Arabidopsis thaliana: one gene and its partners. The protein of the gene in region 3 interacts with the protein of the main gene of each other region in a pairwise test. Each region holds a gene or a part of one and is shown on either strand. Other genes may lie near its edges. The genes, in order: STY2, AT3G24820 and AT5G26749.

Evidence for each region.
Region 1: the proteins of AT5G26749 (region 3) and STY2 interact in a two-hybrid assay, tested with the Arabidopsis thaliana proteins (one large-scale study listed by BioGRID).
Region 2: the proteins of AT5G26749 (region 3) and AT3G24820 interact in a two-hybrid assay, tested with the Arabidopsis thaliana proteins (one large-scale study listed by BioGRID).

The regions. Positions count from the first base shown.
Region 1 is NC_003075.7:17,155,666-17,159,422, reverse strand, and holds the start of STY2 (Lateral root primordium (LRP) protein-like protein), read left to right. Parts: upstream 1-1,777; 5' UTR 1,778-2,416; coding exon 2,417-2,981; intron 2,982-3,314; coding exon 3,315-3,718; 3' UTR 3,719-3,757.
Region 2 is NC_003074.8:9,062,833-9,066,589, reverse strand, and holds the start of AT3G24820 (BSD domain-containing protein), read left to right. Parts: upstream 1-2,113; 5' UTR 2,114-2,223; coding exon 2,224-2,413; intron 2,414-2,511; coding exon 2,512-2,642; intron 2,643-3,410; coding exon 3,411-3,508; intron 3,509-3,731; coding exon 3,732-3,757. Other genes in the region: AT3G24830 (Ribosomal protein L13 family protein), read right to left, coding at 719-862, 1,126-1,213, 1,309-1,425, 1,706-1,977.
Region 3 is NC_003076.8:9,397,465-9,401,164, reverse strand, and holds AT5G26749 (C2H2 and C2HC zinc fingers superfamily protein), read left to right. Parts: upstream 1-1,897; 5' UTR 1,898-1,925; coding exon 1,926-2,058; intron 2,059-2,142; coding exon 2,143-2,264; intron 2,265-2,411; coding exon 2,412-2,475; intron 2,476-2,606; coding exon 2,607-2,678; intron 2,679-2,770; coding exon 2,771-2,880; 3' UTR 2,881-3,150; downstream 3,151-3,700. Other genes in the region: SK 11 (shaggy-related kinase 11), read left to right, coding at 1-132, 208-282, 379-435, 523-663, 751-801, 901-996, 1,098-1,181, 1,296-1,398 and 1 more.

The DNA of each region.
Region 1 (3,757 bases), on a different chromosome or scaffold from region 3:
AAGAGAGAGTCAACGCAAAGGAGAGGCAAACACGAACACACACAGGGCTCGAGAGACCTCTCGACATGTTTAAGGGACAGACAGCGAGCGACACTGAACGTCTTTTTCTCGGGCCTCTCCCACTTATCATTCCCTTCCCTGTCTCTTTTTTTTTTGTTTTTCTTATTTGTATAATAATCATTAGATTTTACAATTTTAAATAGCTTTTTCTTTCCAAAACCTTTGGACTGGACTAACCTGGATCGGTCCGATCTTGATAACGCCGGTTTTATAAAAATCTTAATATTTTTTAGGGTTTAAACTTAATTTGTACGATCATGGATGGATCATCATGTGGTACGAGTCCACTATTAATTCTTCTAAACACCTAAACAAAAACGATATACTTACATGATTGTTTCTGGTTGGATTCGTAGGTGGCATTGTGACTACACTCGTTCATCAATATGGGCCGATTTAAAAATGACTAGATTTTTTTTTTCTGGATCTTGAAAATCCAGACTAATCCAACAGGTTTTTGGTCTACCACAACATTTCAAACAAAGACTATTTATTAGAAACCATAAACCCGGAAAAACTACGAATACCAAATATTATTACAATAGTTTGCTTCGTCGTTTACGTGGAAATTTATATAATTCACAGTAAAAAGAAAGGAATACAAAAAAGTACACGTAGGTGGCGCAGTGTTCCCTTGTATAGCCACATAGAGTCCAAAGAGTAACATGCTTTTTTTTTTCATCTTTCCTTAGTTTTTTTTTTGTAAATATTTCTTTAATTATTCAAATCACTCGATAACGATATAAATATGATCATTTGCTACAATCAATAAAAAGAGAGCCTCTTTTTCACTGCCCCGAATCTCTCTGTTTTCATAACTACTCCATGGTGAATGATTTGATACACTATTGACTATAACTCTAATTCTTAATGATTTTATACACATGGATTTAAGTTATGATTTATAGAGGGTAACAAGCAGAATATTTGAATGTTTTTATTGCGGATATTTAAATATATAACTTACCGGAAAAAGTGGCAGTCTAAATTAGAAGAGCTTGTTAATTATGCATGTAAAATTAAATTTAAATATGGTTTAGTCATCCCTTTGTGGACACTATTGACGTTTTTCCAAAAATTTTCTTTTCACTTGTAAGTTTTTTTATTTTAAGAATGGCTTGTTTTTTTTAACTATTTTTAAAACAATCTATTGTCTACTCAAATAGCATAAGCATCGATAAATATATATATATTTACATGTATGATAATGATATATGGAATATTTTATGAAGGAAAAAAAGAGTTGTTCTGATTGATCACAAGATTACTTACCTCAGAAAAAATCTAAATATGGCTTTACTTAATTAGGGTAAATGTTTGAATACGTAACATTAGACTTTCGAAACATATTAACCAAACAAATCGTTAAGAACGCTCTAATAAATTTGATCAAGATATAACCCTGAGGCAGCTAGATGAGCAATTACTATTGTTTGAGATTAAACAAAAAAAAGCTTAAGGACAAAGAAAAAGAAAAAAAGAAGAATTTAATTTTCTAATCGCGTAGGATTTCAAATTAACCTAAATTAAATACGGTTCATTAATACGTACGGACACATGAGCTAGCTTTTTTTTTTTGATAACCACGAAAAAAATATGTATGCTAACTTTCAAAGAAAAGAATTGAATTCATCCGTTTTAAGATAAAACAAGCTTAAGCACATTCGCCACTTGGCAAACTCTGGTCCATGGGATGAGAACAAGAAAGCTAGGACCGGTGGATCATTCCCCGTGGGTGTGAAACTCTGAGTCGGTAGAGAGAGAAAGAAGAGATAGCAGAGAGAGAAAGTCTTTGTTTAATCCTTTTTTTACTTTCATACGGACAGAACTAGAAGCGTTTTGTTCAGACAAAGCCGAAGTGAGAAGAGGAAAGAAAAGCTTTTCACTTTGGGTTTCATAGAATCTGCAAAAACCAAATCAGAGTAGTGGAGAGAGAGAGAGACTTAAATTCTAGGGATGAGCAGAGCAGAGGAGAGAGAAATCTAAAAACGCCCATGGCGGCGTTGCAGAAATTTATAGAGAAAAATAAAGATTCATAAATAAGTAGACAGCTTAAATTCTTCTTTCTTTCTTCTCTTCTGTTTCTTTTTCTTCTTCTTACTTTCTCTCACTTCAACTACTCACTACCAAGAAACACACTTTGTTCCAAGAGAGAGAGAGAAAGAGAGATCTTGTAGAACATTCGAATTTAGATTCGGAGAGCAGCAACAACACCCACAAGCTAAGGGAGTATAAGGCTGAATTTGAGTGAGAAGAAGAAGGAGAAAAAAGGATAAGGATTTCATGGTAATTAGGGTTTCTGAATTATGGATATAGTTGGGTCAAGATTAGGGTTTGAAGTTTTAGGTCTTAAAAAATGGCTGGGATATTCTCATTAGGAGGTAACAACAACAACAACGGAGACGAAGAAGAAGAAAATCAACAACAACAAAAGACAAATTGGGTTTGGTATAGATCAAACGCAAACACCAATAATATCAACCCAAGCTCGAGCCAACAAGTATGGCAGATTCCACCAGAGCAGATGCTCATGCATCATCATTCACATCCACAACAACAAAGCTTAGATCTTTATCCAGGTCATCAGATCGACGTCTCTGATTTAGCCACTTCATCAAGATCCATCACCATTAGCTGTCGGGACTGTGGGAACCAAGCCAAGAAAGACTGCACTCATATGCGTTGCAGGACTTGCTGTAAAAGCCGTGGATTCGATTGTTCCACTCACGTCAGGAGCACGTGGATCCCCGTTGCGAGGCGCCGCGAGAGACAACAGCAGCTTCATATGTCCACATCTGGAGGTGGCGGCGGAAGCGGTAGTGGCGGTGCTGGAGGAGGCGGTTCGAGTATCCCAAAACGCCATAGGGACCCTACTCTTCCAGGAACATCCTCCTCTTCTCGCTTGCCATCCCACTCAGCAGGTTTTTTTTTTTTATGTCTTTATAAACAATTTGATATCCAGACAACTTCATATATTCGAACCATATGTTTTTGTTAGAAGAAACACGAATTTTTCAACACAAAAATATATGTGAGTTTAATTTTCCTTTCACTACTTGCACAAATTTTGTTTACTTTAAAAATACAACATTCTATATTTATTTTTAATCAAATTTCAGTGTGAAAAAATGTTTGATAAAAAACATTTAAATGTTGTGTTCTGTTTTGAAGTGAAACATAACATTAAAACATAAACGTAATCTTGTGTTTATGGACGTTGATTAATGTGTATAATTGTGTATATATGTTTTTAGGGTTAGAAATGGGGGAGGCAAGTTTTCCGGGGGAAGTGAGCTCAGATGCGCTTTTTCGGTGTGTTAAAATGAGTGGCGTAGATGATGGAGGAGATGGTCAGTACGCTTATCAAACGACGGTCAATATTGGAGGTCATCTCTTCAAAGGAATTCTGTATGACCAAGGCCCTGAAAGCAGCTACATGAGTGGCGGTAGTGGCGGAAGCGATCATCAGAGCTCATCCGCAGGAGGCGGAGGAGGAGGACATCCGTTTAATCCTCCAGTTGTGACCGACGGTGGCGGAGGAGTATCATCGGCCATGTTTGTAGATCCAAATTCTGGTGGTTACTATTCAAGTAACATGACGACTAGTGTGTTCATGCCACCAGGTACGCAATTCTATCAAAATCCACCAAGATCTTGATTAAATCAAGAACTTGACTTTTTATTTTTGTTATATAGT
Region 2 (3,757 bases), on a different chromosome or scaffold from region 3:
TAACTTCTTATTAACGGCGAGATTTAACGACCGCTTGGTTGTTGTAGCGGTGGTTACGGTACGCGTAAGCGCTAAGCTAACCATAACTGTCAATTTTAACAGTATTAGTTTGGTTATGTGTAACTTTTATTTTTGGAATTAAAAATCTGATGTGGGTCCACCGACAGAATAGTTTTTTCCATGTTGTCTCCACTAGTTGTATGACACGTGGTAAGTGCCGACGCAGATTTTATACGGAAATAAGGAAGTGCCACGTAGCTAACTTTAGGTCCAAAAGGAGAGGGACAGGTAGACCACGTGAGTTGATCAATTCATGGCCTTGCTTACATATGAAATAATAAAACCTTTTTTTTTTGTTCATGGCAAAATGTTTTTATTTGAATATAAAATTACTTTTACGCACCTCTTATTTGATATAATATCTCCAGTAAAATCTTAAGAATTACACAAACTAGCCTGAAGAAGAAGAGAATTTTGTTAGTTCCTTAGTCAACTGTCATGCCATATAGTGAATTTGGATTGAAGAATATTTGTAGAAGATTAACATAATTGGGACGCTTAGAAGTTATAGAACTCATCCCTAAGGATTGAAGTATCAACTGATAAATAAAACTGAAATGAGGTGATAAACTTCAACAGTGATACAAGGAAGAAAACAAAATCTGAATAGATAAAAACCAAAACAAGAGTTAAACCAAAAGATAGATGCTGATTTTCTTCAGTACTTGATCGATGCAAGAACATCGAGCTGGGATCCAAGTTTCTCCTCTGCAACCTTCTCGGCCTTTGCCCTGAGCTTGGTGAGTTGCTTCTTACGCTCATACAAAGCTTGTGACCTCTCCTTTCTCTTCACCTCAAGCTCCTGTAAAATCATTAAACCAACAGTAAATTCCCAGTTTCTTCCACAGATTAAGTGAGATAATTTTCTCCTGACTAAACTAAGTACAATGATATGATCTTCAGTTATAAATTAAAACAATCAGCAAAAGACCCAGAACAATGACAAAGATGTGTCAGTAGATGCTATTCAAATCAACTCATAGGAAACTTACAAATACAATTTTAGTAAATGAAGCACCTTTTGTTCCAATAATAAGGCAGACGAAAAGGACAAAAGGGACATACCTTGATGGTATCGTAATGGTTCCAGCCAACTTCAGAAGACAAACGTCCCAACAAGCAGTACTTGTGACCAGCCTGAAGCCTCAACACCCTAAACAAAACAAAACAAACGAAAACCAGTTGACAGCTAAAACACATTGAACATAACCAAAATTACAAGATAGAACAAAGTTGCAGAAACATTACTTGAGAGCATCAGGAATGACCATTCTCTTGACCTTGTCATAAGGAGGTGGTACTCCCTCAAACACCTTCAAACGTGCAAGAGCAGCAGCACCACGCTTGGTCTTGTGTGGAATCATCCTGTAAATGACAAATGATCACATTTCAAATCCTCCATCACACTATCAAACATACAATTCCTAACACAGACATCATTGCACAAAGATCAAAAGCTGACCATTTCTTCATACTTAATAGTAACTAACCAACCTAAACACAAATCCATCCATTGATGCAAACCCTAACAAGCTACACAAAATATAACAACTTTCCAAAAACCCAATACTCAAATTCTAATCTTCATTTTCAAGAATCACATACTAAGCTAAGAACTTTAAGACTGTGAGATTAGAATACGAACCCACGAACGGTACGCCAGAAGATCTTAGACGGAGCACGGAAATGAATAGGACCATGAGAAGGTTTAGTGTTCATGCGTTTCCTAAGAAACCTCATGTACTTCATCTTCTGACGAACCAAACCACCAGACAAACAAATCTCCTCACATCGGACAACAACAACACTCTGTCCATTGAGCAACTCTTTAGCTATGATCGAAGCAAGACGACCACACATATGGTGACGTGCGTCAACAACGACACGCTTTGAACATATCCCTGACCCAGACACCATCTTCTCGATTCGAATTCGCCTCTCCTTAGCTTCCGCTCTTCGAAAAGATCTCAGCTTCACTTCAATGGCGACTTTATATATGATGCGACATTAGGGTTAAGAGTTCTCTAAACCCTAATTTATTGGGCCTTTTGTTATTATAATAAGGCCCAGTAGCCCAGTAACAGGCCATGCCCAGGCCCATTTTTTCTACTTTCTAAGGCATTGGAGATTTTCAGATTCTTCTTCTTCTTCACAGGATCAGCAATGAATATAGCTTCGAGGATTCGACGAAGTTTTTTAAGAGAGAAGAAGGAATCTTCAGATGGGAATAGCTTGAAGAATGGATCGAGTGTTAAGGAAGAAGGTAAAGATGAGATTTTGGGAGTTACTGATGAGTTAATCGATCATGTCAGATCCTTCACCATTGATACGTTTAAGAACTTCTCTCTGGAAGGTAATTACGAAAATTGGATCCCAATTTAGTTAGGATTTTTTTAGTTTTGTGATTTATGAAGTTGATTTTAGTAGTTTGGGTTGTAATTTCTAAAACAGATGAAGAAGAAGAAGTATCTGTGAATCCTTTGGGAGATGAAGATAATGGAATGAGTTCATCTGCAAATGTGAAGAAGGATTTGTCTGATTGGCAGGAGAAACACGCGGTTCTCGTGTTATCGAAATCGAAGGTTTTTGGTCTTGAATTTTGAATCTTTTTGTGATTGACTTTTGTTTTGAAATGAATGGAATTGGTAGCTGTAGAGATTACAAATGATCAAAGTTTAGCTTTTGGAGCCAATGGTGCTATTTTAAAGTTAGATTCATATCTGAGTGTGTGGGCTGATGATTCTTATATAGCCTATTACATAGCTGTTGTCTTCTTGATTTCCTAAATTTTGCTTCTTTTGATGATTGAACTTGTGTTGAAATGAATGGAATTTGTAGCTGTTGTCTGTAGAGATTTCAAATGATCAATGATTGGATTTTGGAGCTAACGGTGCTATTTAAATTAGATTCAAATAAGAGTTGATGATTCTTATAGCGCCTATAGAAAGTTGCTGTCTTCTTGATTTGCTTGTAGCTTTGGGTTTGGTCAATTAGGAGCAATGGATCGAATCTTATAGGGAAATTTGAAAGTTACTCTTTAGGACTAAGCAAGATTTCTAAATGGATGGAACTGGTAGTGGTAGAGCTCTTGGTCCACTGGTATCACTTGAATCAGAATCGGATCAGAGTTTATGTGCCGAATCTTATAGTTCATTTGATGCTACTATCTTCCTGAATTGCTTGTAATCTGGTTAGGCTCATGTTAGTGAAAATGGTAAACATGCTCGTGTTTGCAGTTCAAGATGATTTTGTTACACAGTTGGTAAAATTGAATTTGGTTGATAGGACCATTGGGTTTAAACGAATCTATTTTCAAAGCTGCTCTAAACAAGATTGATTTCGTGTTACAGGAACTCTCACAGTTGAGATTCAAGTTATGCCCGCGAGTTTTAAAGGAACATCAGTTTTGGAGGATATATTTCCAGCTTGTGAGGAAGATTGTGGCAAAGTAAGTACTTTCTTATGCCAAAAAATTTCGTTTGAGATGGTTCCATAACTCCAGGTGTAATGCCCTTAGTAGGTGTTAAATGCACCTTACTCTGTTGTTCTGTGTATGATTCCACTTTCATATAGAGATAGTGAGATGGGTTTTTAGCTTGTAACAAAGTGATGAATAAAGATCACGAGAAATATGAGTTTAACCATTGGTAGTTCATGGAAATTATTTGCAGATATGAGGTGCTAGCAATCCAACAGG
Region 3 (3,700 bases):
ACTGAAAAAGATGAGCTTTACCTCAATCTTGTTCTTGAGTACGTTCCAGAAACTGTTCATCGTGTTATCAAACACTACAACAAACTGAATCAGAGAATGCCTCTTATATACGTCAAACTTTACACTTATCAGGTATCAATTATTACATTTCTGTTAGATTTAGAGTTATGTTTTGGATCTCTTATCGGATTTCTCTATGTTTGGCAGATTTTTAGAGCCTTATCTTACATTCACCGATGCATTGGTGTGTGTCATCGTGACATAAAACCTCAAAACTTGTTGGTATGTACAAGTTAAATAAACAGGAGCTCACAGTATACCCGGGAATATACTTTTCTTCATTGTCTAATGCTACTTTTTTCACCTGTAATGGAACAGGTAAATCCGCACACTCATCAAGTAAAGCTATGTGATTTTGGAAGTGCAAAAGTATTGGTGAGTTTGATAAACCTCTTCCGGGTACTTTGTTTCTTGGAAAAAGTTAGATTCAATCTTGTTGATCATTGTAATATCTGAAAACAGGTAAAAGGAGAACCAAACATTTCCTACATCTGCTCGAGGTATTACAGAGCACCTGAACTTATTTTTGGAGCAACCGAGTATACGACAGCCATTGATGTCTGGTCTGCAGGATGTGTTCTAGCTGAACTATTGCTTGGACAGGTAATGCATTAAATCTTATTCAAACATTTTTGTTCTACTTAACCTGGAATTTTGTGATTGACAAACTCTATTCTCTGCTCATGACAGCCCTTGTTCCCTGGTGAGAGCGGTGTTGATCAACTTGTAGAGATTATCAAGGTATAAGCTTTGCACTTGTTCACTTTGATAACAAGTTCTTGTTTTCAATAATACTGAGAGAAGATTTGATGTAATGTTTTTTGTTATGCTTTGGGGTAGGTCTTGGGAACGCCTACTAGAGAAGAAATCAAGTGCATGAACCCAAACTACACGGAATTCAAATTCCCTCAGATTAAAGCTCATCCATGGCACAAGGTAGAAATAAACTTATATTCATCAAATCAACTTGTCAATGTGTTATTCAGTAGCAGTTACAGTCAATGTGACAATATCTACTCGTCATAATATATTCACAGATTTTCCACAAACGCATGCCTCCAGAAGCTGTTGATTTGGTCTCAAGACTTCTTCAATACTCTCCTAATCTACGAAGTGCCGCTGTGAGTATTACTTACAAATTCAACATTCTTCTGTGAATCTTCTCGATGGTCCTTTCATTTCCTATTTTTCTTTTGTCTGACTTGCTTTTACTTGAATCGTAAACCTGATCACAGCTCGACACATTAGTCCACCCATTCTTTGATGAGTTAAGAGACCCAAACGCACGTCTACCTAATGGACGTTTCCTTCCACCGCTTTTCAACTTCAAGCCTCACGGTACAACATCTCCCTTTCCTAATGGTGTTTATCTCCAACTTACCTGTAAAATCATCAAAGTTTTACCTTACTAAAGCTATACCTGTAATTGTTGTGAAACAGAGCTGAAAGGTGTACCATTGGAGATGGTAGCTAAGTTAGTACCTGAGCATGCAAGGAAGCAGTGTCCTTGGCTCGGTTTGTGATTTCCTCTTAATGTAGCATGAACACAACAAACACTTCTTATAAATTACCTCTCTATGTATCAATATGTCACAAACTGATATGCACCCTTTGTTTGTTGTATGAGTAGAGAAAAAAAGAGTTATTACTATGGTTGGTTGGTTCATAATGTAAAAGCCCACCAAGATTTTTTATCTAGATAAAGAGTTTGCTACTTCTGCTTTTGTATCTTCTTCTTCCTCTGCAACATCATCAAACAAAGACCCTAAAAGTCACTGTAGCAAATACAAGTATCCTCACGCGCCTAAAACTAATAAAAGCCAAAACTTTTTGATTCTACGAGTCGTCGTCGTCATCGCCGGAAGATGCCGTCGGGGAAATATTACTGTGATTATTGCGAGAAAGAGTTTCAAGACACTCAAGTCGCTAGAAAACGCCATCTTCAAAGCAAACCTCATCTTCGAGCTAAAGCCCTTTGGTACAGTTCTTCTTCCTCAGGTATCTCTCTTCTCTCTTTTTTCTCTCTGTTTCTTAAAGGAACGATTTTTAACATCTCTGTTTCTTTTAATACGAAATTCTTAGATCTTGTTAATCCACAAGTCTCCAATTTTGCGACGAAAGGTCTCTGCAATCGATTCATTACCTCGGTACGTCGGATTGATTTTGTTTCGCTATGTTCATCATTCCTAGCAATCTCTGGATGTGTAAAGTCTTGTCCTTTTCGTTTATATTCTGGTGGAATCACACATTTTACATTGCTTTGTTTGATTCTGCAAAAAAATTCATTGCATATGTGTGTATGTATGTAATCTTCCAAGTAAAGTCTGTTCCTTTCTTAATGGGTTTTGCAGAATTTTTGCCCATTTGGAGATTCTTGCAGATACTTCCATCCTAACAACAATACAGGAAGCACAGGTTAGGTCAAAACCTGTTGATTTTTGACTTCAGTGATTTGGTCTCTTTTAGGCTACTTAAAGCTTTAAAGAAGTCTCTACTATGCGCAAGATTTGCTTAAAACATCATCCTCTTGTTGAATTCAAATGCAGGATTCACAAATAATACACAACTTCGTGTTGACATGCTTAACCAACAACACATCCAAGGAAGTACTTTAAACCGTATGCGTTCTTGTTTTTTCGTCATTCAAGTTCTCTAATATTTAAGCATTTATAGAAAATCTGATGTTGGAAGTTTGAATTGTCTAAAACAGGTGATTTTGTTAGTGGGAGACCAGGAACAGGTTGGTTTGATCTTCCGCCATCGCTAAAACCGCCTCCTGAGCAAGGCTATCCTCAGCTTCCCTTCATAGACTGGGGATAGATATAAATTCTCTGAATAATGCTCAGTTTCAACATTGATGATTCTACTTGAAAGGAAAAGACTAATCTTTGTCTCGTTGTGCTCTGCCATTACCAAGCTTTTAGCCACAAGCTTGTCTCTTTTCAGACTCGAGGTTGGAAGAATGTCAACCAAATTGTCGTCTTGTTACTCAATTTGTCGTCAACTTTAGAGACATTGTTCGGAGTTTGGACATGGCAAATTTGCAATTTAACATACTGTGCGATATTCTGATAAAATTCTTTAAATTTCGTTGGCTCGTCCCTATTCATTGCGTGATGATAGGATATCGCTAATTCGCTATCCGCTTCCTGGCCATGTGCTAAACAAGACTTCCCAAGCCAAACTATCAAAATATTTGACAAAGTTGGAGCAATTCCTAAGGCTGTAGATTAATTACAAAGTTGGAACAATTTTTTCCCTAGAAAATACATTATTGAGAAACAGAGTATAAGTTGGCTAAAAGAAAAATCAGATTGTTCAGAATCAAATATTTAAATTATTAACTTCATTTTCATTTCTTCAACTCCATAAAATAGAACTAATTTTAAACTCTTTATTGTTGAGAGAAATATCTTCGAATCTCCTAAGAGTAATTTAGTCGAGCATGTTGGTTTGAGTTTATAAAAGATAGGTTATGATTTATTAGTTAATATTTCAAATTTATATATTGGTTTTTAGGTTTATAATGGAGGGTTTTAGTTTATTTTTTATTTTAATTATGAACAAAGTAAATAGTTTGAGTTTATAAAGAAGAGTTTGATTAGCGTATTATAATTACTTATATGTCGGTTTAGGTTTA